Drosophila melanogaster: one gene and its partner. The protein of the gene in region 1 interacts with the protein of each later gene in a pairwise test. Each region holds a gene or a part of one and is shown in the gene's direction. Other genes may lie near its edges.

Region 1 (15,343 bases):
CTGGCGAGGATCGCATCTGCTCGATGGCCTCCACAAAGCGATCAATTAGTGGCGTGATTTGCCCAGGAACCGCCACACAAGCGCATCGTAAGCACCAAGCGGCAGCCAAACGGGCAGCGGCGCAGGGATGTACCAATACGGCACAGGTAGCATCGATCGCTTGCAGGGATTGATCTCCCAACAAGTTCTGGGCCGTGGTTCCTAATCCAATAAGTAGAGAACTCAATTCCTGGAGGGCACACACCAGCAGGTGCTGACTGAACAGTGTTTCTTGATTAGAATCCTTGGCGTTCTCGGGATTGAAGTCAATTGAGTTCATCTGTTTGGCTACCAGATGGACCAGTTCCTTGCAGGCAGCGCTCTGCGCCTTCTCGCCTAGCATCTTTCCAATCGTTGATCGGAGTATAAAGCTAATGCATTTCCGTGAATACACTGCATCTACGTGGGAGCACGCTGCCTTTGGATTGGCCACGAGATCCAAAACGTGTGCCAGAAATGTGCTTAACTGTCGTTCCAACCAAACGCTGCCCATGAATTGCACGAAAACCACGTATGCATGCGTTACACCCACTCGCACCTCACGGTTGACACCTGAGCTGCCTTTGATAATCTCTCCGGTACCCTTGAGAAAAGATGCGCCACCACGAAGGAAACCTGACATGAGAATGCCCAGAGCTTCATCCAGGGAAACCAAGCGTTGGGTAGCTCCCTTGCCCGCTTGAATAGCCACCGCTTGTCCCTGTTTCTTTTTGCTTGTTGCCGCTTCTGCCAGTTGTTGAGTATAGGCTAGAAGTGTTCCCAGCAGCTGAGCTACCGCACATCGCACTTCATAGTTGCTGCCGTCGAAGGCTCGGAAACACAATGTTCCCAAGCTTTCCAGCTCCGTTTGGTACAGGAATGGTGCACTGTATATCATTTTAAGGATGCAGCGGGCTGCAGCCACTCGAACAGCCATAACTCGGTCCAACAGGCAATGCTTGGCCGCCTTGTAAATATCCTTGTGCACGTTGGCAATGGCTGTGCCCATGCCAGCGCTCACCTTCTCCAGCGTGTGCATGATCTCAATCCGCGCCTGCGACTCAGCGTTGCGAAGCGTTCGAATAAGGATCTGCACCGTATCCTCGTAGGTGCGGCCCATCATCCTGCCCAGCTTCTCATACATAGAGCCCAGCACACAAATGGCGGCACTAGGGATAAAAGAGACTCAGTTTCGATTTTTATATTTTTATAAATGCAATTTACTCACAGCTTTGTGGGCAAGTAGCTGGGCGAGTCGTCCTTGTTCTTCAGGATGTCATTGCAGGCGTTGACGGTGTCGAAGAGCATGAAGGTGTCACCAACGGAGAATAGCGTGGCCAACGCGCTAGCAATGAGCTTACGAATGGGCGGACCTGGTGCGCCCTGGATTCTTTCAGAGAGCTGCTGCACCAGCTTCTTCTGGCTCGCCTTGATCTCCGCTTTGGACACCAGTGGCAGGGCCTTCTCCAAGTAGCGCAGCCATTCCAACTCGAACACAGGCCGCTTGTGTTCGGGCAACTGCTTGAGAGCATCCTCATTAAGGATCAAAGTGTGGGCCAGCTCCATTTCGGATATAGCCTCCTCCTCAGTTTCCGAGCGTCCCCTTGTCGATGAGGCGGAAAAATGGTCGCTGTTTATAAACGATCTGCAGAGCAAGCGAGAAAAAAAAACAATATAAATTGCGGAATGTTTCATCAATTAAACGCAACATATGGTTGATGATTGTGTTCGCTACGAATCGGTCGGCCTTTGACCTTGCCATTTGAGTCTACTAGTACGGACAGCTGCATTATCGATTACAATTTGTTGATCACATTTCAAAATTTGTTATTTTTTTACTATTTAAGTGGTATACTAAACTTTTATATCCATTAAATTTATAGATCAATGTCTAACAAATATATAATGTATATACGTGCGTAAGTATGCCACTTGAAAAAAAAAAAAACATTGGTTTTGCCAATCCATATTTATAAAGTTGTAAAATAGATAAAAAATTGTCAAGAAAACGACTTCATTAAATATAACTATTAAGAAGATGACCTTTTTTTATTTATAACAGAAACGTTGGAAATTGTGTCCGCTTAACAAAGCAAATATGTCTTAAAAGCTTGCCACTAATAAGTAGAGCAATCAATTTACGGAATACACATTTATGTGGATAAGGGGCCCAGCGCGGCTCTTCCCAGTGGTATTGTGTGGAAAAGTATGCATCACTCAATCTATATATACGGCGATGATGACGGTGATGAAGTCAACCCAGAAACATATTCAAATGTATCGATGCGCCGCCACGCTTCGAACGGAAACTGCACTGGTAGCGACTAGGAAGTCCACACACCCACAACCGCTCTATTTTCTTGTTTTATCCACACACCCACTCCCACTGTCACCCAGCTTTGATAAGTGCGGCAAAGAGCTGTCGCCTTGGGCTCGATAGCAGCGCCCATTGACACAGATGGCGGCAAAGTCAAGAGGAGCCAAATTATTAAATCGAAACAAAGACCTTTTCTTCGGAAAATCAAAGGGGTCCGAAGCGGCGGCGGCGGCTCTTGTCCTCGTCATTTGTGTGCTATGTGCGAAATGATGTCCGCCGGCTATGGGTAATAGGGTAAGAAAAGACAATGGGAAGGATGTTCGAGGGTGCGCTGCAATTTTAATGGTGGGGCGTTGGAGCACCATGGTGCTGGGGAAGGTCGTTTGCAGTAATTGCTTTACTGGAAACATCCAGCCATGTAAAAGTGCCCTTATTCGAAAAAGTTTCACATATTAATTCTTAGTTGACTGTACAGTAAAAGGAATATATATTGTCAACTCTAAGCTAGTTAGTTACGCAACATTTTTTCACCACCTATAGCTATTGTGAATCATTACAAAAAGAGTTATTTAGTCTTCAGCCAAATACAGACTGATTTCATACATACATACATTCAATGAGTATTTCAGTGCTATTATTTTGACCACCGCTGTGCGTACATACAAGGCGAAATAATCCTCAGGCGTGAGGACACCGAACCATTGACGTCTGCAGGCTCGAGTTACATAAGACGCCGTTGGGCTGCTGCACCGCCTCCTTTGGCGACCACTTTCCCGCCCACAAAAGGAAAACAAGTAAAACCTGTAAGGTGCAGCCCAGCTATGGAAATGAAACCAAGAAGCAGCCACGAACTGAAATCCCGGCTAGACTTGTCCTGTGCACTACGGGAACATCAGGGTGACTCGTTCGCCGGTGAGTGGTGAATTCTTTTGGGTGGTGGTGGTTGACTTTTCCACTTTCCACACACACCCCCCCCCCCCCCTCCCTCGATTAACCCACCCTCCAGCTTTGTTTTTGTTTTTTTCCCGAAATTACCTGCGCGCCTCGGAGATAACTTTGCGCAGAAATTGCGGCGTGCGTGCAAAGTTTAAGTTTTCCATTGTTGTGATTTGCTGTGTCTTCACATTTCCAGAAAACTTTCTTCGCCGTTTCTCTCGCCAATCTGCAGCAGCCTGCAACTTTCACACAAATCGATAACACTTCCACAAAAGCACTTTTAGCACACGTTTTTAACTGCTCCAATGGATTTTGTTTAATATTACTGTTTTGCTTTCAATTACACTAGGTCAATTCATTCTTGTCACTCGATGTAGCATAAGTTGCGAAAAAATAAAACCGAATTAGAGCGGATTACAGGCGCAACTCTGGAAAAGATGCAGGTCCAGACCAGATCCGCTTACACTTGCTTCGCGCACCGAGTACAAAAACAAAATGAAATGAAAGAGCGCTGGCGAGCACAAACCCACCAAGTAAAAAGTGTTCTCTCTCTCTTCATACACTTTTTAAGGATAGCATCGGTCTTGCCAAATGTTATCCAACGCCTTCGTTCGTGTTTCTTCATTTATTTTTTCCAACGAATAGAATGGAATTTTCTTTTAAAAATGAGTTTTTTTTTTAATAATAAGTTAATTTTTATTTTATTAATTTATTTATTATTATTTAATATCAAAATAACGTTTGGTAAATTAGTGTGTTCCTCCTTGCAAATATTTGCATAATATATGTCTTGAAAAAAGGCCTTTAAAAGTGTATACACAAGTCGAGTGTACGAATGTACGAACTTTAAAGTGAGAGAGCGCCAAAACAAAATAAAATCAAAGAGCGGCGCAAAGAACACGGGAAAAACACCCGCTGTGGGGCACGTTCGAGAAGAGTACAAGTGGGTGGCAAGTGCTGCCGGAAGAGAGCGGCTTGTGAGAGAGCGGGCGATGACGTCGCACGCTAGAATCGCAGCTGATTTAGCAACAATTTGCAGCCAGCACTGTTATAGACTTTTGGGCACATTAACACCGATGTCCGCACACACCCGCATTGGCGTGAACTATGTCAATGTGTCAGTTAAGTCGTTTCGCTGATTCGGCGCTCGGGTGAAGGGAAGCCCAGGTGCAGTGTCCTGCGACAATTGTCCCGCTTGCTTTGTCCTAAGAGAACACGTTTGGCGGCACTTCCGGCCGTAAAGGGTCTACCGAATGATTTAGAATCGGTCCCAAATCCAAATTCATTCAGAAAAAAGTTCTATACTTAATTTGCTTAAAAGCAGATACTGAAAAAAGGTTATTTAGGTTTTTAAAGACCAGAGAAAATAATACATAAGGCGAATAATTAACCCTACCTCGCCAGTTGCAAGTCAAATTATATTTCAGACCGCGACTCACTGATTTACTTATGTCCTAAGATTAATCAAATCTATAAGTGCCAAGGCTGATTTAACAGTTACATAATATAGTGAGAAGCACAAATCGCGTTATAGTTGCTTCGATTTTTATTTTATTGAAAATGTTAGAAACCTTGCACAAGGCCCCGATTAATCTGCAATAATAAAACAACAATGCACTACAAATTATGTATAAACAAAACTTTGTACACTGTCTAATATTTCTAAAAAATGTGCTCAAATAAATATATAAACTATTTTATCAGCTCTTGTTTCAAACTGATTTTGGGTGACTATTCCCCAAAACAAAAATTCGAATTTATCAAAGTACACACACAATTGTAAGGTCAGTAGGTCCTTCGACTTTATTGCGACTTATGCTAAGAGCTTAAGGTAAAAACTGCATGCTGGGAATAAAAGTCAATGCCTTGGAAGTGGGGCTTTTGGGATTCCCCAGATCTTTGGCGATTCCCTGCACGCGGGCCACCACGTCACTGCGCTGGATATCGCCCCGGTCCAACATCCTTTTAAATAGAGTATACAATTGCCTGGCCGCCGAAACCTGTGACAAGGCATGCAGCTCCACCAGCAGATTCTCGGAATATCCCTCGTACTTGCTCAGACTCGCCGCCTTAGCATCGCGCTTTAGCAGATCGTAAACCAGCAGGAAATCCACATAGGGCTTAGTGGGAGGAACTCTCTTTTTGCCTGCGATCGAGGCGGTGCTCCATCGATCCATCGCGGACTCAGAACCGAAAGCGGCCCTTCCGTAGTTATCGTCGTAGAGGCGCAAAAAGTTATCCAGTGACTCCACATCGTTGGTAAAGTCGTAGCGCTCGCTTTGAATATCACGGATCAAAGACAAAGGCAGGGTATCAAAGTCGCTATCATCTTTGATTTCTGCAAATAGATCGTTGCCCTCAAGGGACTTTTCCGGCGGCGCAGTTGGTGCAAAAATTGCCGGACGGTGCGGCACAGTGGGTGGCGATGTGGGTCTCTCGGTTGTGGATGATCTCTTCGGCGTTTCCCACCAACTTGGCGGCTGCCACCAGCCCATGCCACCAGATCCAGACGCACCTGCTCCAATCGGTCGCCTTGTGGTAGTGGTTCTCATCCTCGTGGGCAACGGTGTGGATGGGCGCGGATTTGCAGTGGTGGATTCCATACCTTCTTCATCCGCACTGAAAGGAGGCTCCACTGTTGTGCTTGATAGTGGCTCGTACTGCAGCAGGTCAATATAGTATGCCAAGGCCTGCATGGAGGCGGGCAGATAGCTAGTCAGTAGGTTAGCCGGCGCCACTGGATCCACTAGGTGACCCACTAGAAGCACCACCAGCATTGGACGAACCGTTAGCCCACTGCGCATTTCTCGCTTTTCTTACTTTCTTCTGGCGGGAACGGTTTACTCTGGGGGAATGGAGGCACTCAACTGAAGCGACTCTTCCCAGCAACCAGCGAGCATCTGTAGTTGGCTCTGCATCTGTCTTTGTCTCCGTATCTGTATCTGGTTTTCAAAATGGGTGACAGCGGGTTCGGCTTTAGCTTATACTCTTTCAAAAGGTATTTTAACGCGCAGAAAATATAAAAAAATCTTCAGGGTCAAACGATTACAACTAATCTGTATTGATTTTATATTAATTTGAGTATCATCACAATCTTTTATTTCTATTAATAAATGTTATTAAAGCAATACTTCTCGGTTTTCCTTTTTAAATCATTTGCCCTAATGGAATAGCGTCAATGATTTCTGAGCATACTTATAGCTTCGGTGTTGGGCTTCAACTTTTCACATGCGATTTTTTGGGGGTTTTAGCAAACTCGTTGAGTGGAGAGGCCAGCGACCGCGATCGCCGCTTGTTGCGTAAATTTTGTAACCACCGACTTTTGGCGGAGAATGTTGTTCTTGGAAAGAGTGAAAGATGTTCCGTTGCCAAAAGAACAACCAGTTTGGTCATAAATATGCAAAGTGTGCACAAACACAGGCAGAAAGCAGGCGAACCGCACATAAACCTGATTTTGGGTGCTTTATTCATTTGCAAGGAGTACAAAAGCTCTTACATTAAATTAAATGCATCTTTGGTGCAGTTTAAGAATCACTTGCAAGTGCGACACTTTGAGAGCCATTGATGACCGCTGTCGATCAAAAAAGGAGAGCAAGGGAGCCCGGCAAACAGCTGTTTGAGAAGCATTAACCTGTTGTTGTTGCTCTTGTGTTGCCGTCTAGATGAGTTTTCGCTTTTTTCGAGGAAATTGGAGCACGGTAAACGACTTAGCATAACGGGTTTCCTAAGCAAGCCGTGCCGCTGCTTTTTTAGCACAGACATAACGGCCTCACACTCGCACACCTAAACTTTTTGCACTTCCGCCTGGCCAATTAGCACTTAATAGTGTCATGTGTATTTTTTGACGCGTCAGAACCAAGACACACACACAGGTAACAATTTCACTGGCACACTCCCACACCCAAATTGGCCCCATGCAAATGGTTGCTTTGTTTTCAATTTCGACGTGCTTTCAGACTCAACTCACCGGTTCACTTCGTGCACAAACAAGTTTACAATTAAAATCACTCTCTTCACATGGTTATTGCTTTTAGTTTACTGGAAAAATTGAATTTTTCACGAATTTTCACTGCGTTGCGATACGGTTTGTGTAGGCTAGCTCGATAACTTTGGCCGATGGCGATAGTCTAAACATTTGTCTACGTTTCGATGTGAATGAGAAACAGCTGCTTGTTGATTGCACATGTGCTTATTTTTTTGTTTACCTAAACGCTCCAGAATTTCTGTGCACAACTTTGTAAATTACAGATAAATAATATAGGAAGAATGGCCAGAAGACCAGAGCATTCGGCGCCGCCAGAAATTGTGAGTATACGCCATAACGTACTGCCCATCAAGTGAACCCTCACCAATTTTTTATTCCTTTAGTTCTACAACGATGATGAGGCCAAGAAATATTCCACAAAGTGAGTAGATTAGATAGATATGTATGTATATGTTCGAACTCATAAAAACCAGAACTTTTTAGCACCCGCATCATTGAGATCCAAGTAGAAATGGCCGAACGTGCCTTGGAACTATTGGCGCTCCCGGATGATGATGAGTCTCGGTTGATTTTGGACATCGGCTGTGGTTCTGGACTCTCAGGTAGCGTTCTTGAGGACAGCGAGCACATGTGGATCGGCATAGATATTTCCAAGTCTATGCTCGATATCGCCGTGGAACGCGAGGTTGCTGGGGATGTCATTCTGGGAGACATGGGCGAGGGAATGCCCTTTAAGCCGGGCACTTTCGACGGCGCCATCTCGATCTCTGCCCTCCAATGGCTCTGCAATGCGGACAAGTCGTATCACAATCCCCACAAGCGCCTGCTGAAGTTCTTTACCACCTTGTTTTCCTGTCTGACACGCACCGCGCGAGCTGTCTTTCAATTTTATCCGGAGAACTCCGATCAGATCGAGATGGTAACCTCGCAAGCCATGAAGGCGGGATTCTACGGAGGATTGGTTGTCGACTATCCAAACTCTGCCAAGGCTAAGAAGTACTACCTGGTGCTCATGACTGGAGGATCTGCTGAGCTGCCGCAGGCTTTGGGTTAGTTTTAATAATAATAATTATAGAAAACTAATAATTACTTTCACATCATTTTTCTTTGCTTTTGTAGGCTCACCTGAAGAGGAACGTCGTGTAAACTATATAAAGAAACGTGATGCTTGCCGTGAGGCTCGGGGAAAAGCGCCAAAGAAATCCCGCGATTGGATCCTAGCCAAGAAAGAGCGTCGACGTCGCCAGGGGTTGGAAACCCGTCCTGACACAAAGTACACTGCACGCAAGCGCAGCGGCAAATTTTGAATAAAGTTGTTACATTTAAAATTAGTGACAGACCTAATCTCTAATTGCGGCTTTGTCTATATGTTTTAGATCTTGAGTCAGATTAAGGATATTACAATGCCGTTGGATGTTTATATACATATGTATAAGTCCCGCTGCTATTCATCTTAAGTAAAACGGACACATCTTTAATTCACAAAATTATATTGTTTCGAATTTAATTCATTTAACTTAAGTCTATGTACGCTGAAGACTAGAGAATTCTAAGATTGCTTCCCGACTAGTTTTTGTTCTCGCTCTTCTTGATCGCGTCTGTATCGTTCCTTCGCTTTCTGCTTGGGAGTGTCGTAGGAGCTTTCGGCGAGGAACATCAGGTATACGGCCACTCCGGCAAAGATAAAGGCCAGCAGGACCATGTCAGTCTGGCCTGATATTCTGTTGGTCTCCCTTTGCACTTTTATTCGATCGTATTTGGCCTGGGCGGCTTGTCTCCGGTCAAATGATTTACCATAGTGATTTCGCGACCACTCGTCGAAGTCATAGATGGGCGTACGGCCCGCAGAATCAGATACACGCGATTTCTGAAATCGCGACTTGTAAAACTTAGTCTCCGCATCGTCCTCGACTACGGGTTCCGCTACATCGTGGACATCTTGGGCATATTGGGCGCCTGCCGTATGTACGATTCCCTTGTCGTAAAGTCGACGCAGCCGGTAATTTCCCAGAATCTCATAAGCCTGATTGATCTCCCGAAATTTCTTGGCTGCGTTCTCACTTCCTTGGTTCCTGTCCGGATGATAAAGCATCGAGAGCTTATAGTAAGCTGCCTTGATCTCGTTCTGCGTGCACTGACGCCTGATTCCCAGTGCGTCGTAGTGGCTCATCTGGTGGCGTTGACTGAGGTAGAGGCCACGCAGCAGAAGCAGAGGTCGCCACAACATTGGGCTGTGCTGGTACATCTTGGATGTGTTCTTTCGCCCGCTTCACTTGTTTTGGTTTCGTTATATCACATGAAAATTAAAAACAAATCGAATCAGCTGTTTGAACTTGAACTTGTTCACCCTCGCCATCGTTGTTATCGATAGATCGATAGTATTCTGAACCAATGGTGCAGGTACAGCAAAAAATTAGCTGAAAGAGGAAAAAGAGCTTGTAATTGATTAATTTATAAAAGATAGATTTTGAAAATATTTACAGAATAAATGATTTTCAAAAAAGTTTTTACAGATATATCAGAAAAATATTTGTAATCCCTGGCTTAGTTAAAAATTTAAGACTTTAGTAAAGTTGAAATTCGTCAGCTGTTTGGGCTATGATGAAAAAAGCAAAACGTAAGCTCCACGGTTCCAGTCAGCTGTTTGGCCGATTCGCTGCGAATGGCAACTGTTGCAACTATTTTGGTTTGAGTCTTCTCAATTTTTATTTATATATAGAACAGGGCAGCAGCCGGTTCAATAGTCTCACGCAGCGTGCTTGATTTTCCCGCTAAACGCCTGCAACTGTATCTGTGTGTATTCGAGAGCGATCGAGAAGTTTCTGGTGGTCGAAATTTAGGCCAGAAGGCACAAAACCGAACTGAATAGTGAGTCATCCGTTAACAATAAAAAGTTGCAGCTACAGTTTTTGTCTTTTTATACAGAAAATTGTGTAACCATGACAAACACCATCAACAGCGAGGAAGTGTCCGACGCAGGAAGCTACAAAGATAAGGGCAACGAGGCGTTCAAGGCCTCCCGCTGGGAGGAGGCAGTGGAGCACTATGGCAAAGCCATTAAGGCGGGCTCTAAGCACAAGGAGCTGGCGGTTTTCTATAAGAATCGTGCTGCCGCTTATCTGAAGCTAGGAAAGTATGAAAATGCGGTAGAGGACTGCACTGAATCTTTGAAAGCGGCTCCGGGGGATCCCAAGGCACTGTTCCGTAGGGCTCAGGCGTACGAAGCTCTGGAGAAGTTCGAAGAGGCCTACAAAGACGCAACCGCTTTGTTTAAAGCGGATCCCGGCAACAAAACCGTACAGCCCATGCTCCAGAGGCTTCATGTCGTCGTGGAAGAGCGCTCTGCCCGTAATGCCAAGACATCCACAAAAGTCAAGCAGATGATGGATCTTACTTTTGATTTGGCCACGCCCATCGATAAGCGTCGCGCGGCAGCCAATAACCTAGTAGTTTTGGCCAAAGAGCAGACTGGCGCTGAACTGCTTTACAAGGACCACTGCATCGCCAAAGTGGCCTCACTAACAAAGGTGGAAAAGGATCAGGACATTTATGTGAATATGGTGCATTTGGTGGCTGCTCTTTGCGAAAATAGCGTCGAGCGTACAAAGGGCGTTTTAACTGAACTCGGAGTACCGTGGTTCATGAGGGTTCTCGACCAAAAACACGAGAACTGTGTGTCCACCGCCCAGTTTTGCCTACAAACAATATTGAACGCATTGTCTGGGCTTAAGAACAAACCCGATTCGAAGCCGGAGAAGGAGCTGTGCACTAGGAACAACCGGGAAATTGACACTCTCCTAACATGCCTAGTTTATAGTATCACGGATCGCACGATTTCTGGAGCAGCTAGGGATGGCGTTATTGAGCTTATAACCAGGAATGTCCACTACACAGCTCTAGAATGGGCCGAACGCCTGGTTGAGATCAGGGGACTGTGCCGTCTGCTGGATGTGTGCTCCGAACTGGAGGATTATAAGTACGAGAGTGCAATGGATATCACAGGCTCATCATCCACAATTGCATCCGTTTGTCTGGCCCGGATATATGAGAACATGTACTACGATGAAGCTAAGGCACGGTTCACGGACCAGATCGACGAATACATTAAGGACAAGCTTTTGGCGCCTGATATGGAATCCAAGGTGCGGGTCACCGTTGCGATTACTGCCCTGCTTAACGGTCCATTGGATGTGGGCAATCAGGTTGTGGCCAGAGAAGGTGAGTTCTGTTATTGGATTTAGAAAATGGTACTTAATTAATGGTGAAATTTGTAACAGGAATACTGCAGATGATTCTAGCAATGGCTACGACCGACGATGAGTTGCAGCAGCGAGTATCATGTGAGTGCCTAATCGCCGCTTCCTCTAAAAAGGACAAGGCCAAGGCTCTTTGTGAGCAGGGAGTAGATATTTTAAAGCGGCTCTACCACTCCAAGAACGATGGTATTAGAGTACGCGCCCTGGTGGGTCTTTGCAAGCTGGGTAGCTACGGCGGTCAGGACGCGGCCATCCGACCATTTGGCGATGGAGCTGCCCTTAAGCTGGCGGAGGCATGCCGTCGGTTTTTGATCAAACCTGGAAAGGATAAGGATATCCGTCGTTGGGCTGCCGATGGTCTGGCTTATTTAACACTGGATGCTGAATGTAAGGAGAAGCTCATTGAGGATAAGGCTTCCATTCACGCTTTAATGGATTTGGCCCGCGGAGGAAATCAGTCCTGTCTCTATGGTGTGGTCACTACTTTTGTGAATCTGTGCAATGCGTATGAGAAGCAGGAGATGTTGCCTGAGATGATAGAACTTGCCAAGTTTGCTAAGCAACACATACCGGAGGAGCACGAGCTGGACGACGTAGATTTCATCAATAAGCGTATTACTGTGCTGGCAAATGAGGGCATAACAACTGCTCTTTGTGCACTGGCGAAAACTGAAAGCCACAATTCACAGGAGCTGATTGCCAGGGTTTTGAATGCGGTTTGTGGACTGAAAGAGTTGCGAGGAAAAGTGGTTCAAGAAGGCGGCGTTAAGGCGCTGCTTCGTATGGCGCTTGAGGGAACTGAGAAAGGAAAACGCCATGCTACCCAGGCGTTGGCTAGGATTGGCATAACCATTAATCCGGAAGTATCTTTCAGTGGCCAGCGATCGCTTGATGTAATCCGTCCTTTGTTGAACCTTTTGCAACAGGACTGCACAGCGCTGGAGAATTTTGAGTCGCTAATGGCACTCACCAATCTAGCCAGCATGAACGAGAGCGTGCGCCAGAGGATTATCAAGGAGCAGGGGGTCTCCAAGATAGAGTATTATCTGATGGAGGACCATCTGTACCTGACTCGTGCAGCTGCCCAGTGTCTGTGTAATCTGGTTATGAGTGAGGATGTCATTAAAATGTTCGAGGGCAATAACGACCGAGTGAAGTTCTTGGCGCTTCTCTGCGAGGATGAGGACGAGGAGACCGCAACAGCTTGTGCCGGAGCTCTGGCCATTATTACTTCAGTGTCTGTCAAGTGCTGTGAGAAGATCTTGGCCATCGCCAGCTGGCTGGACATTCTGCACACTCTGATCGCCAATCCCAGTCCGGCGGTCCAGCATCGAGGCATTGTGATTATTCTAAACATGATCAATGCTGGAGAGGAGATCGCCAAAAAGCTGTTTGAAACGGACATTATGGAACTGCTGAGCGGTTTGGGGCAGCTGCCCGATGACACGCGTGCCAAGGCCCGAGAGGTGGCCACCCAGTGCCTGGCGGCGGCGGAGCGTTATAGGATCATCGAGCGGTCCGACAACGCGGAAATCCCCGATGTGTTTGCCGAAAATTCGAAAATATCTGAGATTATCGATGATTAAGCGAAATTCGTTTGTAGTGCCTTTTGTTTTTCCTCCATTTCATCTTCTTTACTTTACTCACAGTGTCATCGCGAAATTTAACTTATTTTTCAAAATATCAAATGTACTTAACTGTTTTATAAATATTGTTCGAATTTATTTCGTTTTTAAAGGTAGTTTGTTTTATTCCTTAGTGGGTAATATAATATATTATTTAGTTATTTCATGAATACGCGATTTTTTAATTTAACTAATTTAATACAGACCAAGCCTAATCCAAGCCTAATTGCTGCGGCCTAATGTGATTTGGATTGTAATATGGATGGCCACTAGGATGGCCTAGTGTTTTCCCACCGACTCCATTTTCCCCGGTGCACTGCCTCGGTACGTTTTCTATTCATTGCCACACATTAGTCGCCAGCTCGAGGTAGCTGACTTCCTCTAATGCAGAAGATGCTTCTGATGCGGCAGTGTTGCAGTGTCAGGTAGCCGGGAATTCCGAGCCGAGCATCTCTTCCAGCTGATTGCTCAATCTCAATGAAGTGTGATTAAATAAATAATAGTTGCTTTAATTTAGTTTGGCTCAGCGCAGTGGGAAATGGCCGAGGGTTTCGGTTGCTATGATTCGGTTGCCATGACTTAACGGCATTTATTCCGAAATCCATCCCGCTTTTTGTCTTTGGCCATTTGGCATTCCTTTTCCCGCGATTATTTCGCATTTTCCTCTTCTCCTTAAACCATATACTGTGCTCAATTTGACCAATATAAATAACGTGGTTAGAAGGTAAAGTAATGAGGAAGATGAATTCTTCAGGACCCTTATATGCTAAAGGGATATAAGCTGAAATAAAATATGTTGATGTAAGACCCCAGAAGGAAACAAACTAATGCTTGGCAATATATTTAAAAAATTGGTGTATAAAAACAATTAAGTTAGGGGAATAAACATTTTAAAAAATGGTAAAAAAAGACATTTTAAAAAATGTAAAAAGGATATTTCCGTGGAAATATATTAGCAAATTGAAATTCATTTCTATAGCGTTGTTTAATATTGAAAATCGAGTTTTTCGGCTACTTCATAATAAATGTACACTCTTCTTCCATTTGAGAAATCGATAATAAAGAAAATAATCCCAGACTTAATCCCCAAGAAGCAGAAACTTTCGGTTTCGGTTGTATTTACTTTTTCGGCATTGGTCAAAATGAGACATTTTGTCCTAATTACACAGACGACAGACACAGACCGTGTGGCAAAGAGTTTGCTAAGACTGTGGATCGGAAGCACTGGCTTAGAGCTTCATCGGCTTGATTGGCGACGTACATATGTGCATCTTCACTTTCCATTTAATCTCGGTTTGGTGGCGCGGTGCGGTTCAGTGTGGTGCAACACAGTTGGTGCCGCCCAATTTGTCCCGTGGAAATCGAAAGCCGATTTTCATGTCAATATTTTTGTTTAATAAACTGGCCGACTCGAGTCGTCTGCGCATGCGGAAAATATGCAAATTACCCCCCCCCAGGCGATGCGGCGCAACAAATGTGCACTGGGAGAAAAATAATAAACTTTTCAGTTAACTAATGCTGGATTTGAAATTGTCTCGTTTCAAAATAGAAAACTAACTAATACCCAGTAGATTCCTTGCTTTATATTAATTTAGCATATATAAAAATGGAACTAATTCTGTTTTCTTAGTGTATTGATGCTGGTGCAGGGGCACAAAAACACAGATTCAGATACACCGCCAGCGACGTTGCGTTGACCGATTGAACGAAAGTGCAGGCAGCAAAAGATACGGGATGAAAGATGAAAGTTGACCGCAAGTAGAAAGACGATGCTGAAAGTGCAAGTGGCTAGGCGGATCGATCGAATCGATGTAAGACGGTTACGGTTATGGAGACATCAGATTGGTGCAGGTGTCAACTCAGGTTGCACGAGTGGTTTCCCTTTTGGAAGATTCCTCTTCCCAACTGGCAGAACTTTGAGTTGAAAGATGAGTGTGTGTGTGAATTGAATGTGAATATTGTGACAATGTAAAGTGTGAAGTGTTCCCCTGCCAGACATTTCTCAATGGTTTTTTTTTTTCATTTCGCCAGAACTTGTGGACAATTTGCCAGAGCACCGCCAAACAAAACTCGTACAGCGATTTTTCTTCGCATTGGCCATGGTAATTAATCAAACTGCTGCCATCTGCCGAAAAGCGTTTGAATCGATGGCTAAACGCAAAAAATTCGTTGAAAGCCGAAAATGTGCATCGATCGCTCTTAAAAC
Region 2 (16,346 bases), on another chromosome or scaffold:
ACAGCGATTTATGACCTTTGCACTAGTAACAAGGACTCGCAACCACTAGATAGAATTATGATTTGGATTGCACAATTATCGATATGGAAAATCTATTTTTGATTTTCATTGTTTATTGCTTGCAAACAAGGTATGGAGTTCAAACGCAACAAGAATAAGAATAGATCTTGAGCAATAAGAACGTATTTTTCCACTGTCTTAAGAATTTTACATTTTTAAACCCAACAATTTCATGAAAATAGCGAAATATTATATGCAAAAGAACACGTTTGAGTATATTATTTCAATTGTATTGATTTGTTCAATCAGCAACCAATTTTTGCAGCGATTAGGTTGTATTCTAAATGAAAAGCTTTTCAACTGCGCAAATTTTTGATACAGCGATAATTTTCTACTTTTGACCGATCATTGATTTGGGTCCTATATAATATAGTCGTGTTGATCAGCGGTATTTAGCATGCATGAATGGAGCTATTCTAAGTTTTGTTTATAAGTAAATGTAATTTTTTTTGCTAAATATATTTAGCAATTTCGGAATTTGCATTTATTATATATGGAAGAAAACACAAGTAAACAACATTTTCAGGCACTGCTCTCACCTGCTTAAATATTGCGCTTTTGCGTATTTACGCCATACCCAAATAAATAATCAAAATAAATGTGCGTCTGCGAATTGAGTTAAAAATCCATCACTCATACGCGCTGTTGACTTTAATCAAAAAGTTTTGTACTTGCAAATATGCGATGCTTCTTTTTTGCTATTAAATAATTATCTATTTAGTATAGAAATATGTATATTATAGATTTATATAAAATATAGGAAACAACATTTCGCAACCGCCCTAATAATTTGACCTTTTTCATCGAAAACCCAGGCACGATTGGCCAAAAATAGACCTTCGAAATTGTTAAAGGCTTCTGAGACGTTGGCTGCAATCTGTGACGGAGGATGAGCAAAACGGGGCGGGATGGGGTGCATGTACATAGATGGCTGCAGGGCCAAGTTATAAATTGGCCAGCGTTCAAGGTCGCTTGGCAGGGAACCGGAATATAGAAAATAAATACATACACTTACCAAAACTGTTGCTAGCAATTTGAATTCACTAAATACTTAGCTATCAAAGAGAGTCCTTAAATATACATATTCAACATACATCTAACTTATTATCCTCGTTGCTACTGCAGGCCTATGAGCGGCGGTTTCCCACATGCCCGCAGATGCCCATCGTCCTGGACTGTGAGGTCATTAAGGACGAGTCCCTGGAGGACGGGGCCAAGCGAAACACGAGCCGACGCTGCAAGCTGGCGGTCGACGCGCCGTACATCTTCAAAAAGCTTATTGGCGTGGACCATGTGTACTTCCTGCAGCACAACTTCCTGGACCTGGCCAACCGCACGCTGAGCATCGAGGCGGTCAACGAGAGCTTCTCGTCGCGCATCGAAATCTTCGAGCGGTGTCGCTACTACGCCCATCCGGACAACTCCGAATGGACGTGCTTTGACCAGTCGGCCACGCTGGACATTAAGAACTTCTTCGGCTTCGAGCACTCGATGGAAAAGATGGGCATGAAGCAGTACACCCAGACGACGCTGAAGGGCAAAGAAATCATTGAGTTCTTTATCGGGCAGCTGCGCGAGGAAGGCATCACGCATGTGGAGCGTTGGACATCGCCCAGTGATGCAACCAAATCGCCAACCCTCGATCAGGCTTCGGATCAGCAGCATAGCATCTTGCTGGACGGCGACTTTATCGCACGCAGCCTGGGCCAGCTGTCGCCCATGCAGGAGTCCAAGCTGCTGGAGCTGCGAAAAATGCTGGATGGTGTCGATGACTTGGAGCGTGTGCCCAGTTATCAGACCATCCTGCGTTTCTTAGCAGCCAGGGACTGGCACGTTAGCCAGGCCTACGCCATGCTCTGCGACTCGCTTCGCTGGCGTCGGGAACATCGCATCGACGCACTGTTGGCGGAGTACTCCAAGCCAGCCGTGGTAGTGGAACACTTTCCGGGCGGCTGGCATCATTTGGACAAGGACGGTCGACCCGTTTACATTCTGCGCCTGGGACACATGGACGTCAAGGGCCTGCTAAAGTCACTGGGAATGGATGGACTACTGCGATTGGTAAGCAAGCCGGCGGAGAACTTATCGCTGAGATTACATTTTAAACAATATGCTGTCTGTCTATAGGCTTTGCACATCTGCGAGGAAGGCATTCAGAAGATCAATGAATCCGCCGAACGCCTGGAGAAGCCAGTTCTCAACTGGTCACTGCTTGTCGATCTGGAGGGTCTTTCTATGCGCCACCTCTGGCGTCCCGGCATCAAAGCCCTGCTCAACATCATCGAGACTGTGGAGCGCAATTACCCAGAGACCATGGGCCGTGTCCTAGTGGTGCGAGCGCCCAGAGTGTTTCCCATTGCATGGACAATCGTTAGTGCTTTTATTGGTGAGTCTGAACAAGCCGTCATATGGAATTGCCTGTTAACAACGCTTTGAAATCCTGCAGATGAGCACACCCGATCCAAGTTCCTGTTCTACGGCCCCGACTGTGCGCACATGAAGGATGGCCTGGCCCAGTATCTCGACGAGGAGATTGTGCCTGACTTCCTGGGCGGACCGTGCAAGGTAAGCAAGCAAGGCGGCAGCCACGACTTCCGGTAGCGCGTCTTCGGTTGGGAGCCCATTACTGCTGCATCTGTAGCAACGTACTTACTATATTATGTTATTATTGTATATGTGCGTTAACTCTCTATCCCTCTGGTTTCGGCCTTGATTCCGGCTCGCTGGGGCTGCTCAGACAGAGAACCAGCTAGTCTCGCATGTGGAGCAAGTCAGTCAGAAATACTTTAGCCATTGTTATTTAACCAAATGCGATTGTGTAAGCATCCTACTCTCTTGTTCTTTTGCTCCTGCTCTCGATTTCGTTTGTCACCATCCACAACGACAAATTGTACTGTACTCGTCCGCCTTTGTCTTACTTCCTCGTTTTTGTTTCTCACACTTTGTTCGCTGTGCGGTTCTGTTGCAAACTGTGTCAAGCCCATGTGCGCAGCTTAGCCATGACATTCCTGCTGTAATATTTCCTCCATTGTGCCCCAGCGTCCATGTCCACGTCACTTAATCTCTCTGTTCACCCGGCGGCTGTCATACATGTGCTCAGTCCAAGCCAACAGCCACGGAGCCTGCCCACCAGAAACTGCTCTAACGTATTGTCCTCTTTCCACAAAGACCATGATTCACGAGGGCGGACTGGTGCCTAAGACGTTGTACAAGATGAATTCGCTGGAGGATCACGACGACGAAGTGACCGCCGAGCTGCCCACCACTGCCGCGGCACAGGCTTTGGTTCCAGGCAAGCGCCTGTCTGCCAACCAGCAACACGATCATCGCAATCTGTACAAGAGTGTGGATCTCAAGGCCGGATTCGCGCACGAGCTGCTCATCCGGAACGAGGATCCCAAGAGTGTGCTCACCTGGGACTTCGATGTGATGCGCAACGATCTGCACTTTACGCTCTACCGGGTCACCCAGGAGCTTCCGGAAAAGAATGGTGAGTTAATAATGCACTTACAAAAGGTTTTCATGTTGCTTTTTGTTTTTCTTTTGTTCTGAGAACTGGTTTTGGTTTCAAAGGTGCGAATATCACGATGTTGTTGCCTCATTAGAAGTTGTTTTTGTTTACTTAGCACTTTTATAAAAACACAAAGCCACGATAAAAAGCGAAAAATGCGGAAAGTGGAAACTCTTACACCCTTTCGAAAAGAAAAGAAAATTTGTTGTCAGGCAACTTAAAAACAAATTAATAACGTTTGGCTTAAATTGAATAGTTTACTATTACAATTAAGTATTAAAACGTATGTTAATTTGTGTATATATTTATTTATATAAATTTCCAAGGTATCTGTTGCTAGGGCTCTATTAAATTGATAACGCGCGCATTTTGGTTCCGGTTTATTGATAGGGATTGCTTTTCATATGTGTTTTGATAATGTAGTAAAATACGAAAAAGTTGAACCTTATTTTATAAAGCTTTTTGTACTTTGAACCTTTTAATTAATTAACTTGATTAGCTTGACAGCTTACATATAATTAAATGCCCTTCGCCCACAGATTCCGCCGTCTCGTACTTTGATCTGCAGGACTTCGTCGAGGGCGTCAATTATTTCCGTGAGGAGCCAACGCTGATTTGCCGGCACAAGGAGAGCGTCCAGGGGTCGCACGTGATGCATCACAACGACAGCTATCTTATGCACTGGTTTAGTCCATCGGGTGCCCAGTTAAACGTCTTCTACGAGGTGCTCAGCTCGGCCAACTACAAGGGTTCGATGACCAGCCTGCAGTCGGCATTCTCATCGAACTCGTCGGCGGCCAGCTCGGTGCAGAGTCGATGATATGAGAAAGCCGGGGATGGCGGAACGAACGGCGCCGAATGGAGATCCCCGGCATTGGAGGAGCCCATAGCGGCGGACATTCTCACGGGCACCCTGATGGAGAAGAGCCTGAATCTATTTGAAACGCCGGACGTATTCTTTTAAGACCGAAAGTGGTAATATCTTGTGTTTTAGTTGTCTTTAGTTGTTTAGCAGAATGTTAGTTTGATTTTAAATTGTATTTAGCTCAAATAGGCCATTTATTTCCTTTTAAATTTATTATATTCATTCAATATATACAAGCATTCATATTATTGATAATCTTAAGAAAATTAGAAATATCAGCGGTTTAAATGAGCAACACCAAAATATCACGCAACGTTTTATTTGAATCGTCAATTTGAATTTTTCGTAAGCAGCTCTATAAATGAAGTTTTAATGCGTACATATATATGTAAAAGCGACGTAATTTTTATAGCTTTTTCTAATGGAACATTTTTTAGCAACAATTAAGGAACTTATTGCGATTGCGCAGCCACTGAAACGAAAATAGAAAAAATTGAAATTGTAATCAATAACTACGTGTTACCTAATTAGTTTAATAAACAAATTGCCGAAATGGCTTATTGCAAGGATTTTAGCCAGAACTTATACAAAAGAGTGAAATGTAAGATTTGAACTCGAAATACACACGTAGGTTATAGCTAGACGTCAGATTATAATTATAAATGTAAAATTGTATTTTAAACATTCGAATGCAGAACGTTTTTGATTGCACACTAATTACCCCGTCATTTGTACGCCCTTAATTGCTAATATCAATCAATCTCCAAAGTGTTTTTAAAATCAAAAAAGGCAACTTCAGTGTGTTTTTTTGGTTATTATTTATTGTATTAAAAACGAATTACTATGCGGATGTTTACAATTTAGTTTTATAAATAATCTGACGTGTATTGTAAGAATAAACTGACAAGCCAATAACGAAGGAAAAATGAGTGCATGTTAACTAAGTGTGTAAGTTGTATTAAGAACGTAATCAAATAAATGCTATTAGATCAATTACATGTACATATTCGCATTTTATTGTGGGCTCTTGAAAAAAATAAACTATTCAACAGTTTTAATTAAAATCAAATTTAGAATCCATGAAAATTGTATGGTATGGATATGGATGCTCTTTTCATATTTTAAATGTGGATTGTAATGTTTTTATATATATTGTAATGTTTTTATATAACAAAATAGATAAAATTAGACCAGCAAATGACTCGTTTCTGATAGAAAGAATATTCAAATTACGCGCCAGACCTACTATTCCAGCCCTGGCTACCTTGAGAAGGTCTGGCAACGCCCCCGCTAAAACATTTTGTGAAAACATTGAATTGTGATATTAAAGAAAATTAAACATGAAATTTATGTATATTATGTATAATAATTAAATAATTATATTATATAATAATTAACAGAATTTAAAAAACTTCACATTTTGTATTTATATAACACCGTTCTTTCTCATGGCTTAAGTCACGTCAAACTATGTTATCTTCAATGGTGAAAAACTGGGTTAAAATTGTTTGTTTATCGCGCTTGTTGTTGGCTGATGGCTGATAGGAAATTAAAGCAATGTTTGTGGCCGCTAAAAGATTCGAATTTCGCAGGCAGCACCCACCACCACCTGCACGGGCCGCCCTAATCCCGCATTCTCCTAGGGCCCGTATCTTATCCGCGGCGGATGCAAACCACTAAAAGGCTACTTGGCCATGAAGTGCGGATAAGCGGATTCCTTCTTATCGCCGCTGGCCATTGGACATTGGCTATTTTACCAATAATAGTTACGAGTGCCTGGACTTTCAAGCATTTCGCGCCTAGCATTCGAAGCAGCCAGACCAGTCGCTAGAATCGAACTCCAACATGGTTGCATTGAGCACAAAGTAAGTACCCCTGCCCCACAGCCCCATCGCCTCGACTGACGACCACAACGTCCACCAATCCAACATTCCAACAAGAGCCAGTTCTCTGGGCAATGGCGAGCGGAGTAGGCGATGGCGATGGTGGTGACCAAAACGGTCTGAACTCATTACTAACCGCACTGGGCGACTATTACAGCGGCCGCCGGGAGGAGAAGGCTGCAGCCAACATCTACGATGACAAACGGATCTTTCCCGACTTCCGTAGCGGACCTTTGGAAGAGTACCGTGAGCGGGCTAGCTTCTGCTACAAGCGCATGAACGTGGTGCTCGAGGGCGAGGATCACATACGGCTGAAGGTTCGTTACCATTTCCAGTTTGTTACATATGTACATGGTCAGCGGGGTCGAAGTGCAGACTGCCTCGATAGCTTTTGTCGGAGCTGCAGGCCGCCAACCGCCCGGTCTAATCGTCGCCCGTTTCTTATCTGCACACTTGAGTAATTCGTTTACATGTCACTCCGTCTTTAGCACAAGGTGTGGCAATGGATGGAACAGCACCCCGACTACCAGCGGGAGCCAGGATCCGATTTGGAACGCACCCGCGAAATGGCCAACAAGCGGCAGCATCTTCTGTGGGAGCAACAGTTCTACGGCGTCAACGAGGTAGGATGCGTTGCGTACTCCTGAAAGTGTGGCTGCCTAAATCTCCTGTCTTTCTTTCAGTATCTTGGAACCCCACATCTTCTGCTTGCTTTCGGACAGGCCATCTTTAGCTACGATTTCAGCACTTCGGTCAAGTTCGGCCTTTCAACTGGCATGTTCCCCAGCACGCTGGTCTCCAACGGATCTGGCCGCCTGGGCAAGTACGTGGCCAAGATCGCGGACAACCGCATTTTGGGCGCCTACGCTCTCACTGAGATTTCTCACGGCACCAACGCGCTCGGCATGCGCACCCGTGCCACCTACGATGTGAAAAGGCAGGAGTTTATCATCCACACGCCAGACTTCGAGGCGGCCAAGTGTTGGGTCGGTAATCTAGGCAAGACTTGCACGCACGCAATCGTCTACGCCCAGCTGTACGTGCCGGATGACAAGCACCAGGGCCTGCAGGCCTTCCTTGTTCCCATTCGGGACGAGCGTACATTGCTTCCATTCCCCGGCGTAACCGTCGGCGATATGGGCGAAAAGATCGGTCTCAATGGCATTGATAACGGGCAAGTACTTTCTTCTATCAGTTGATAAAACTAATCAACAGCAACAGAAATAATTTCGATTTGTTTGGCATTGCAGATTTGTGATGTTCAACCAGTATCGTATCCCTAAGGCAAATCTGCTGTCCAAGACCGGTGACATCGATGCGCAGGGAAACTACACCAGTAAAATTAAGGACGAGCGTAAGCGCCTTGGCGCCTCCTTGGGTGCCCTCTCCGTGGGTCGCGTCAATATCACTGCTATCACGTATGTGGCCTTGAGCAAGGCTGTGACAATTGCCACTCGCTATGCGGCCAGCAGACGCCAGTTTGGCCCTACCAACAGCCCGGCGGAGTGGCCCGTGATCGAGTATCAGTCACAGCAATACCGACTAATTCCCCACTTGGCCACCACAATCGCCTTGCGGGTGGCCACACTCTGGATAGGCAAAGAGAACGTGGATTTGACCATGAAGGGCTTCACTGGCGAGGACACGTCGCAAGCGGGCATGGAGATCCATGCGATCTCATCGGCACTCAAACCAGTTGCCACTTGGGCTGCCAGGGATGGCATCCAGGTATGAATGCTTTATATATGTATATAACCACTTTTACTTATCGGTTATATTGTTTTAATCTCAGGAATGCCGCGAGGCCTGTGGCGGTCATGGCTATCTTAAATCTTCTGGCTTGGGCGAACTTCGCAACGACAACGATGCCAACTGCACCTATGAGGGCGAGAACAACACGCTCATCCAGCAAGCGTCCAATTGGTTGATCAGTCTGCAACGCAACAATGCCGACTTCGTGGCAGTTTCCCCATTGGAGACAGTCTCCTTCCTGAAGGATATGGACACAATTCTGCAAAGCAAGGGTCAGGAGCGAACTCCTGCCGAAGTTTTGGATCCGCTCAGTGAGTATTTCTTAGTTATCCAAATATAAGATAGGAATAACGCAATTTTATTGCACTTCTATAGATCTACTTAATGCCCTCAACTGGCTTACCGTCTGGCAACTGGATACGACGGTGAAACGAGTTGAGGAACAGCAGCGCGAAGGAAAGGATGCCTTTGAGACGAGGAACAACATCCAGGTCTTTGCCGCCCAGAAGCTCTCCATTATCTACGGCGAGGTGAGATGCCAACCCTCTAAACCCCAACTAAATAGTAAAATAACCAAGTTTAATATTCTTTTAGCGCACCATCTACTACGTGTTTTATAAGTTTGTAATTGGTCTGCCCGACTCTGCTGAGAAGAAGGTACTGCAGCAGGTGCTCTCCTTCTATGGCGCCCACTTGGTCACAAAGTACTCCGCTGCTTTCTACCGCGGTGGTTACTTCCGCGAAAACTCTAACCAACTGGAGCTGTACGAACAGGGCATTCTGGCTCTGCTTCCCCTGCTGAAGAACGAAGCCATTGCTCTGGTGGATGCCATTGCTCCCACAGACTTTATTCTAAACTCTCCTCTGGGCATGAGCGATGGAAACGTAAGTGGTCTACCATAAGCAACTGCTACTCTTACTAAAGATTCTATCCTTTCGCAGGTCTACCAGCATCTGCAGCGCACGCTTGTCTCCACTCCAGGTGTCTACGAGCGTCCTCATTGGTGGCGTGATGTTACCTACAAGGATTACCTTAAGCGCGCCAAATTGTAGACTCACTGTAAAATCCCAAATAAGAAGACTTTACTCGTTGAGTTTTTGTAAGAAACTGATTTTATTTGGAAATATCTTCGGTTTAAATAGGTGACATGAGAATCGCATCTTAAAGTAAATGGCCTACGCAGAGGCCTAAGTAAATAGTCCCCGCCTTATCGAGGTCCCACGCTCGGGCACATCTGCCTATCTTGAGCGGCGAGGACCTTATCTGTGGTCTCCCACTAAGGGACTATTTTAGGAGGCGGGGAACGATCTCAAGTGACTGACTCATGTAGTGTGCACTTAAATTACATGTTTTTGAGCAATGCACCCATGTCGCCTTAGATAACAAAATCCTAAATATAATTTATCGCTCTCGATTCATTTACATAAGATATGAACGGAGCCCAAAATTGTAAGTCTTTAAATATATTCGTGTTCATGTGTGAACATTCTGCCAAAGGGCCAGCAAGCTGAGATGTACATTAGTATATTAGTTGCATTTATAACAGTAGTGGACTGTATTTATTTGATATATGTTCATTTATTTTGCAACTAAGATTTCAATGGGCCTAGTTTTTCTGGCTTTTAATTTTATTGGATTACAATTATGGTTTATATTATTTTTAATTCAACAATTTGTACTCAATTAACTTATTTTAAACATTTTGCTTTTTCTATGTAGAAGTACATTTTCTATTAAACAACGATATAGTGGACTGTATATTTTTATTTGTTATATTATTTTATTGTTTATTTACTATTGATATTTATAGTACTGGCAACGGACCTGCAAAGGTTATTGCTTGCATTCTTTGTTGCACAGCACATTTCCGTATGAAATATATTATTAATACTATCATTAGTATTAAAGCAATAATTAATCCAGCATGTCCGGAAATATGATGGAAATGTAAATCTTTCAATTTTTGATGGTTCTCTTTCATAAATTTAATTTCATTATTCAATCGTTCAAATTCCTCAGTATGATTTAATATTGATAGTTTCAGCGGATCCCAAATAATCTTCGGCGCTTCACTAATTTCTCCTATATAAGGTGTTGATAATAATTCTTCACTTTCGGACTGAATGTTATGGTGGGCAACTAGAATTTTATCGTCGGTTCTTGCCGTACAATATGGCGCAATGCTTAAAACTCCTTGCTGAGGCAAATCAAACAATTCAATTTGAGAGCCAGTACATTGCAGACGGACTTTTGAATTCGCAGGAACCTTAAACAACCAACTACTTTTCTTTTCTAACTCTACCCAGTAACTTTTAGAGTCGACTACTGTTTTATAGATGCAGTTCGCCGCTTTATCTGGCTTTAGAGGCTGAATCTCACATGCATTATCATTCGCTGAATTCCAGGGCCAACTTCCTTTGCATATTCTCTTATTTAGTTGCCATTTCTGACATTGATTTAATGTGGCTTCCGTCATTATGTGATAGGAATCTATCTCAAAATTATAAATTAAATATTCGGACGTTGTATGCACCATTATTATCCGATCTTCATTTCGAATTGGCACCGGAATAAGCCTGAACAATTTGGATGGATGCCTGCTAAACAGAGGCACTTTTGCACTAATGATCAATTTATCGTCGATGAATAAACCCCTGGCTGTTAACAGTGTATACACTTCCTTAAGTTCCGTACCTGACCGTTTTCCTGGAATTACTAGGTTCTCCGAAAGACTCTGCTGAATTTTGGCAATTTCTTTTTTAAGCTGATTTGGCCTGAGAATATTTGTATTTAGCCTACCGTGATTAATATCAATCAACAGGCTTATAATGCCTGCTTGAATTTTTTCGCCTTCTTCAATCAATGAGTGTAGCTGTTTCGTAATCATAAAGAATTTTATTGATTCCTTATAAACATAATAATTTTCTTTAAGAACTTCTGTCATGTTCTCAATTCTTATTTGCATACTTCTAAAATTGGAGTTAACATCTTCTGTTGTTCTCTTTAATAGATTAGAAGTTGAATCAACCACAGATGTTTGTTTTTGAATTAGTTTATCAAGGTTGTTCTGGTTATCTAACAAATTCTTCATATTTTCTTCTAATTGCTCTCTATCATCTTCATCCATTATACCAAATAAAATATGATACAAGGAACCCATAAATTCGAAAGGAGCACGCTTGCTTCTAGATCTAGACTGTATCATAAACAATTTATTGTTTTCTTCAAGTTCCGATAACTGACTTTGCATATTATCTAAGACTAGACTACATTGCTCTTCAAAGCTATGAAGTCTTTCGCAAACTTTCCTCATACTTTGTATAAGCGCATTACCCTTTGTTAACATTTTAAAATATGGATCCATTTTATAATAGATAACCAAATTCCAAGAAGTACTCACAATCTCAACATCTCCTAGCGGGTCTAGATATATTGCTGAGGTTTTATTTATTTTGTCTATAGAATATCTTGGTGCTATATCTTTAGGTAATGCGCTAGAAACTTGACAACTTAACACAAACAACAACATTGCCATAATGATTCCGATCTTGGACATTCCCGATGTCGCTCTAGTTCGTCTTTTTGGCTCTTGGTCAGCCTCATTTTTGTCAACAGACTTTATTCCTTCCAAGGGACAAATTTTAGTAATGGGTCTAGTGATATATCCTTCCTGCATCTTTACTTTAGCCACTCGGACCTTATCATCATTCCCCTTATGCACCTTTTCCACCTTTCCTAAAGGCCATCTTGCAGGATGACAATTCTCATCCTTTAATAAAACTATTTGCCCTTCTTCTATATTAGGAATTTCCTTTTTCCATTTATTCCTTTGCTGGAGCGTATGCAAATATTCACTTTTCCACTTAACCCAGAAATCTTTCTTCATTTTTTGGATAAGTCTCCACCTATCCAAATTTCCGATTTTTTCATCTTCCATTGGTTCGACTATTTCTAAAGGTGGTCTTCCAATTAAAAAATGACCTGGTGTTAAAACTTCTTGTTGGTCCTTCTCACTAACTATAGTGTATAATGGCCTTGAATTTAAGCATGCTTCTATTTGACATAAAAGAGTTGACATTTCTTCGTAAGTCAAAATAGTGTCGCCGATTATACGCTTTAAATGGTATTTCATTGACTTAACTCCAGCTTCCCAAATACCTCCGAAGTGAGGTCCTGCCGGGGGAATAAAATGCCAATCAATCCTGTCCTTTTCAAGCTGCGCTGCAATCGTTATATTTTCTTGTATTGCATTAAATAACTCTTGATCTAATTTTCTTGCAGCTCCTACAAAATTTGTTCCGTTGTCTGAATAGATATTGGAACATTTTCCCCGTCTAGCAATAAATCTTCTGAGTGCTGCTAAAAATGCGTCTGAAGTTAGATCGCTTACCATTTCTAAGTGTATGGCTTTGGTGGCCATGCAAACGAATACAGCAACGTATCCTTTAAATGTTTTTTGGCCACGATTTTTTGAACATTTAACATAATAAGGACCTGCGTAATCTATTCCAGTATTAAGAAACGGGAATGTCATCGTCACTCTATATTTTGGCAAGTTACCCATTATTTGCTGAGCTGTATTTTGTTTATACCTTGCACACGTTACACATTCTCTTAAATACTTTTTCAACGAATTTTTCAACCCGAAAATCCAATACTTTCTTTGGATATAGTTTCGCATTAGGTTTATCCCTCCATGCAATGTTTCCTTATGAGCATTTTTTATTAATAAGCTTGTTAGGTGGCATTTTTCTAAAATGATTGGATGTTTAACATTAAATTCTGCATTGGAATTTTGCAATCTTCCTCCAACTCTTAGAACCCCATCCTTGTCCAAAAATGGATTCAATGACAATATTTTATTATTTGTCTTGATTTCCTTTTTGATTTTAAGGCACTTTATCTCTTGCCTAAACTGGTATTCTTGTTGTTTCTTAATAACAACTGTTTCCGCTATTCTTATCTCCTTTACTGAAATAATTGATGAATAGGCTTTATTTCTTGTTTTCATCTGCACGAATCTATTTATGTATGCTATTATACGTATAAGTTTTTCTATACTGGAATACCTTTCTATTAATTCGTAAATAGGATCATCTATTTTGTCATTTAATACCGTATTTATTAAGACAGGTTCTTCTACAGACTGCTGCCGAGGCCAAAGTTCTTTTGGGTCTGCTAGCCATTTCGGACCTTTCCACCAAAAATCACAGTTGATCAACTGGTTAGAATCCACTCCCCTGGATGCTAAATCTGCTGGATTATCCTCTGACTTAACATGATTCCATTCAGTATTTTTTAATTTCCGAATGTCATCCGTTCTTCTTTTTATAAATTTGATCTTACTTTGACCACTGTTAATCCATGCTAAGGTAATCGTGGAATCACTCCAAGCATAGATCTCCATTATATTGTCAATTGATCCTTTTAGTCTTTGGATTAATTCACTAAGCAGGTGAGCTGCACACAGCTCGAGTTTGGGAATTGTCTTCCTATTTTTTATAGGGTTGACTCTACTTTTGCTAGCTATTATATTAACATGAGGTCCTACTTTAGCATAGACTACTGCAGCATATGCTTTTTCGGAGGCGTCCGCAAATCCGTGAATCTGAATGACTGAAGAACTGTTTGAATTAATCCACCTTGGGATTCGAATATTCTCTAACAATAATAAATTTTCTTTATATTTTTCCCAATAATTTTTATCTTCTATGGATAATTCCTGATCCCATTCACTTTTATTTATCCAAAGTTTTTGAATAAAAAGTTTTCCTGAAACCGTGACTGGTGCCAACCATCCTAACGGATCAAATATTTTTGCTAGCGTTGATAACACAACGCGCTTATTTATATTTTTTGATTCATCATTACAATTTACGCTGAACTTAAATAAATCCTTTTGAGGTTCCCATTTTAGTCCTAAAGTTTTAACACATTCATTTTCGATAATATTGAGAACCTTATTGTCCCCTGTGTCCTCCACAGTGGTTAATATTTTGGAATTGTTGGAAATCCATTTCCTTAAGTTGAATCCAACTTTCTGCAATTCATGGGGAATTAATGTTATTAATTTATTAGCTTCTTCTACCGAATCAGCTCCAGTCATTAGGTCATCCATATAGAAATCATTCCTAATTATTGCACTAATAACTTGGTTTTTACATTTATCTGCAATATCTACCAGAACCCTGGTAGCCAAATATGGTGCAGATGCAGTTCCGTAAGTGACTGTGGTTAATTTATATGTTTTAATTTTTTCTTTTGGAGAATTTCTCCATAAAATATATTGATATTTTTGATCATTATTATCTATTTTAATTTGTCGGTACATCTTTTCAATGTCTGCCGAAACAACAAATTCCCATTTTCTCCATTTAATAATAATGTCAAAAATATCTTTTTGAACTCGTGGCCCAACCCACATTATGTCGTTCAAACTTTTGTTATTCGTAGTTTTTGCTGAAGCATCAAAAACTACTCTCAATTTGGTCGTAAGGCTTGAATCTCTAATCACTGCCTGGTGCGGTAAAAAATATTTGCCTTCATCACTCACTTCAATCATGTGTCCTAAATCCATGTATTCATTCATGAATTTAGTGTAGTCAACCTTAAGTTTTTCATTTCTTTTTAGTTTTTTCTCCAGATTCATGTAACGAGCTATCGCTTGTTTCTTTGAATCTCCTAAGGTGACATCCTCCTTGAATGGAATTGACACAATGTATCGCCCATCTGAATCTTTTTTTTGTCGTTTTGATAAATTTATTTTCACAGATTTCAGACTCGATATCATCTTTTTCTTCTTCTTCCACTTCCCAGTAGCGATCTAACTCTTTTATTTCTATTGTTGTGGCTACAATGGTTTCTTTTCCTTTGGATTTTTTACATCCAGAAACTATCCACCCGAAATCAGTTTTTTGCCCAAGGAGACCGTCTATTTTTATAACTCCATTTTGCAGAATGTGAGTATATACGTCTGCTCCAATGATTAAATCAATGCGACCCGGTTTATTAAAATCGGGGTCGGCTAATTTAAAGTTCTTCCATTTTTTCTGATCAACATTAATCGTGTTGACTGGAAGTGCCTTCATAAGTTTTGGGAGAATAATTGCTTCAATTTCTAAATTTTTCGGAGAATTTCTTATCGAAATAACCGCTTTGTGCTTGGAGATGCACGTTCCTGTGGAAGATACTCCACTTATTTCAGTATGAGACCGAAATTTTTTCAATTTTAGAATCTGTGCAGACTCTTCTGAAATAATTGTGCTTTGAGAGCCACTATCAATCAATGCTCTTAATTGTTCAAAGCCTCCATACCTCGACTTTACTTGAATCAAGGCCGTGGCCAACAAGGCTTGACCTGTTGTTCTACACGTATTCACTTTTTCTGGATTATGACCTGCAAAGTGAAGTAACGTGTGGTGAGGTTTACGACAAGTCGAACAAAGCTGCTCGCTTATACATTTTTTACCAAACGGATGCCTCAGACATCTTAGGCAAATCCCATTTTTTCTTACCCAGTCAGACCGTTCTGCTGGATTCATTATTTTAAATTTATGGCATTGAATTAAATAATGCCCTGGTAGTTTGCAATATGCACAATTGTCACTATAATTTTTATTCTTGTTATTATTAATCATTTTCTTTACAGGTTTTACTTCCTGTGAGAATGATGATATAGAATTGAGCCTTTGCTCTAAAAAGTCCATGACATCAGAAAGTGCCTGTATTTCTTTTGTCTTTTTAACATGGCTTTCATATAAATTGAGTGATTCTTTATTGAATTTCCGAAGAATTATGTGAGCGAAAATTGCATCCACATCTTCTGGTAATTGTGCCTTTAATTTTATAATATAAATTGACTCGTTAATCGTGTCAATAAATGTCTTTATTTGCTTATTGGATTCTAAATTTAAATTTGGCATATCCATAAGCCTATTCATATGATCTGAGAATATGTTTCTTTTATTCTCATATCGCTTGGTCAAAAACTCCCAAGTGGCTTCATAATTTTCTCCAGAGCCGAGCAGTAAATGAGTAACCACATTTCTGGCTTCTCCTTTTAATGCTGACTTTAGATAATTAAATTTGAGAGAAGGACTGAGATCCTCTCTCACATGTATGAGCTCTGTAAAGAGTTCATTAAAAAGATCCCATTCTTTGGAATCACCAAAGAAGGTGGGAATCTGTATTTTAGGCAGGGTTGGTAACTCCTCCGCCTTAACAACCGTCGACATTTCAGCTTTATTTATTGTGCCACTGAGTCGACTATTAATG

What was found.
Region 2: the proteins of CG10903 (region 1) and Acox3 interact in a two-hybrid assay, tested with the Drosophila melanogaster proteins (one large-scale study listed by BioGRID).

What each region holds. Positions count from the first base shown.
Region 1 is NT_033777.3:8,023,407-8,038,749, forward strand, and holds CG10903 (uncharacterized protein), read left to right. Parts: upstream 1-7,004; 5' UTR 7,005-7,143; intron 7,144-7,238; exon of another isoform or gene 7,239-7,384; intron 7,385-7,420; exon of another isoform or gene 7,421-7,519; 5' UTR 7,520-7,537; coding exon 7,538-7,576; intron 7,577-7,639; coding exon 7,640-7,677; intron 7,678-7,723; exon of another isoform or gene 7,724-7,739; coding exon 7,740-8,305; exon of another isoform or gene 8,306-8,375; coding exon 8,376-8,563; 3' UTR 8,564-8,739; downstream 8,740-15,343. Other genes in the region: CG2747 (uncharacterized protein), read right to left, coding at 1-1,187, 1,247-1,663, 3,371-3,435; ImpE3 (Ecdysone-inducible gene E3), read right to left, coding at 5,098-6,075; CG11035 (uncharacterized protein), read right to left, coding at 8,806-9,501; unc-45 (uncoordinated 45), read left to right, coding at 10,196-11,474, 11,534-13,098.
Region 2 is NT_033779.5:6,437,897-6,454,242, reverse strand, and holds Acox3 (Acyl-CoA oxidase 3), read left to right. Parts: upstream 1-6,380; 5' UTR 6,381-6,393; coding exon 6,394-6,636; intron 6,637-6,807; coding exon 6,808-6,942; intron 6,943-7,002; coding exon 7,003-7,493; intron 7,494-7,569; coding exon 7,570-8,047; intron 8,048-8,111; coding exon 8,112-8,382; intron 8,383-8,446; coding exon 8,447-8,601; intron 8,602-8,665; coding exon 8,666-8,956; intron 8,957-9,013; coding exon 9,014-9,124; 3' UTR 9,125-9,173; downstream 9,174-16,346. Other genes in the region: retm (real-time), read left to right, coding at 1,186-2,121, 2,188-2,446, 2,507-2,625, 3,229-3,550, 4,111-4,391.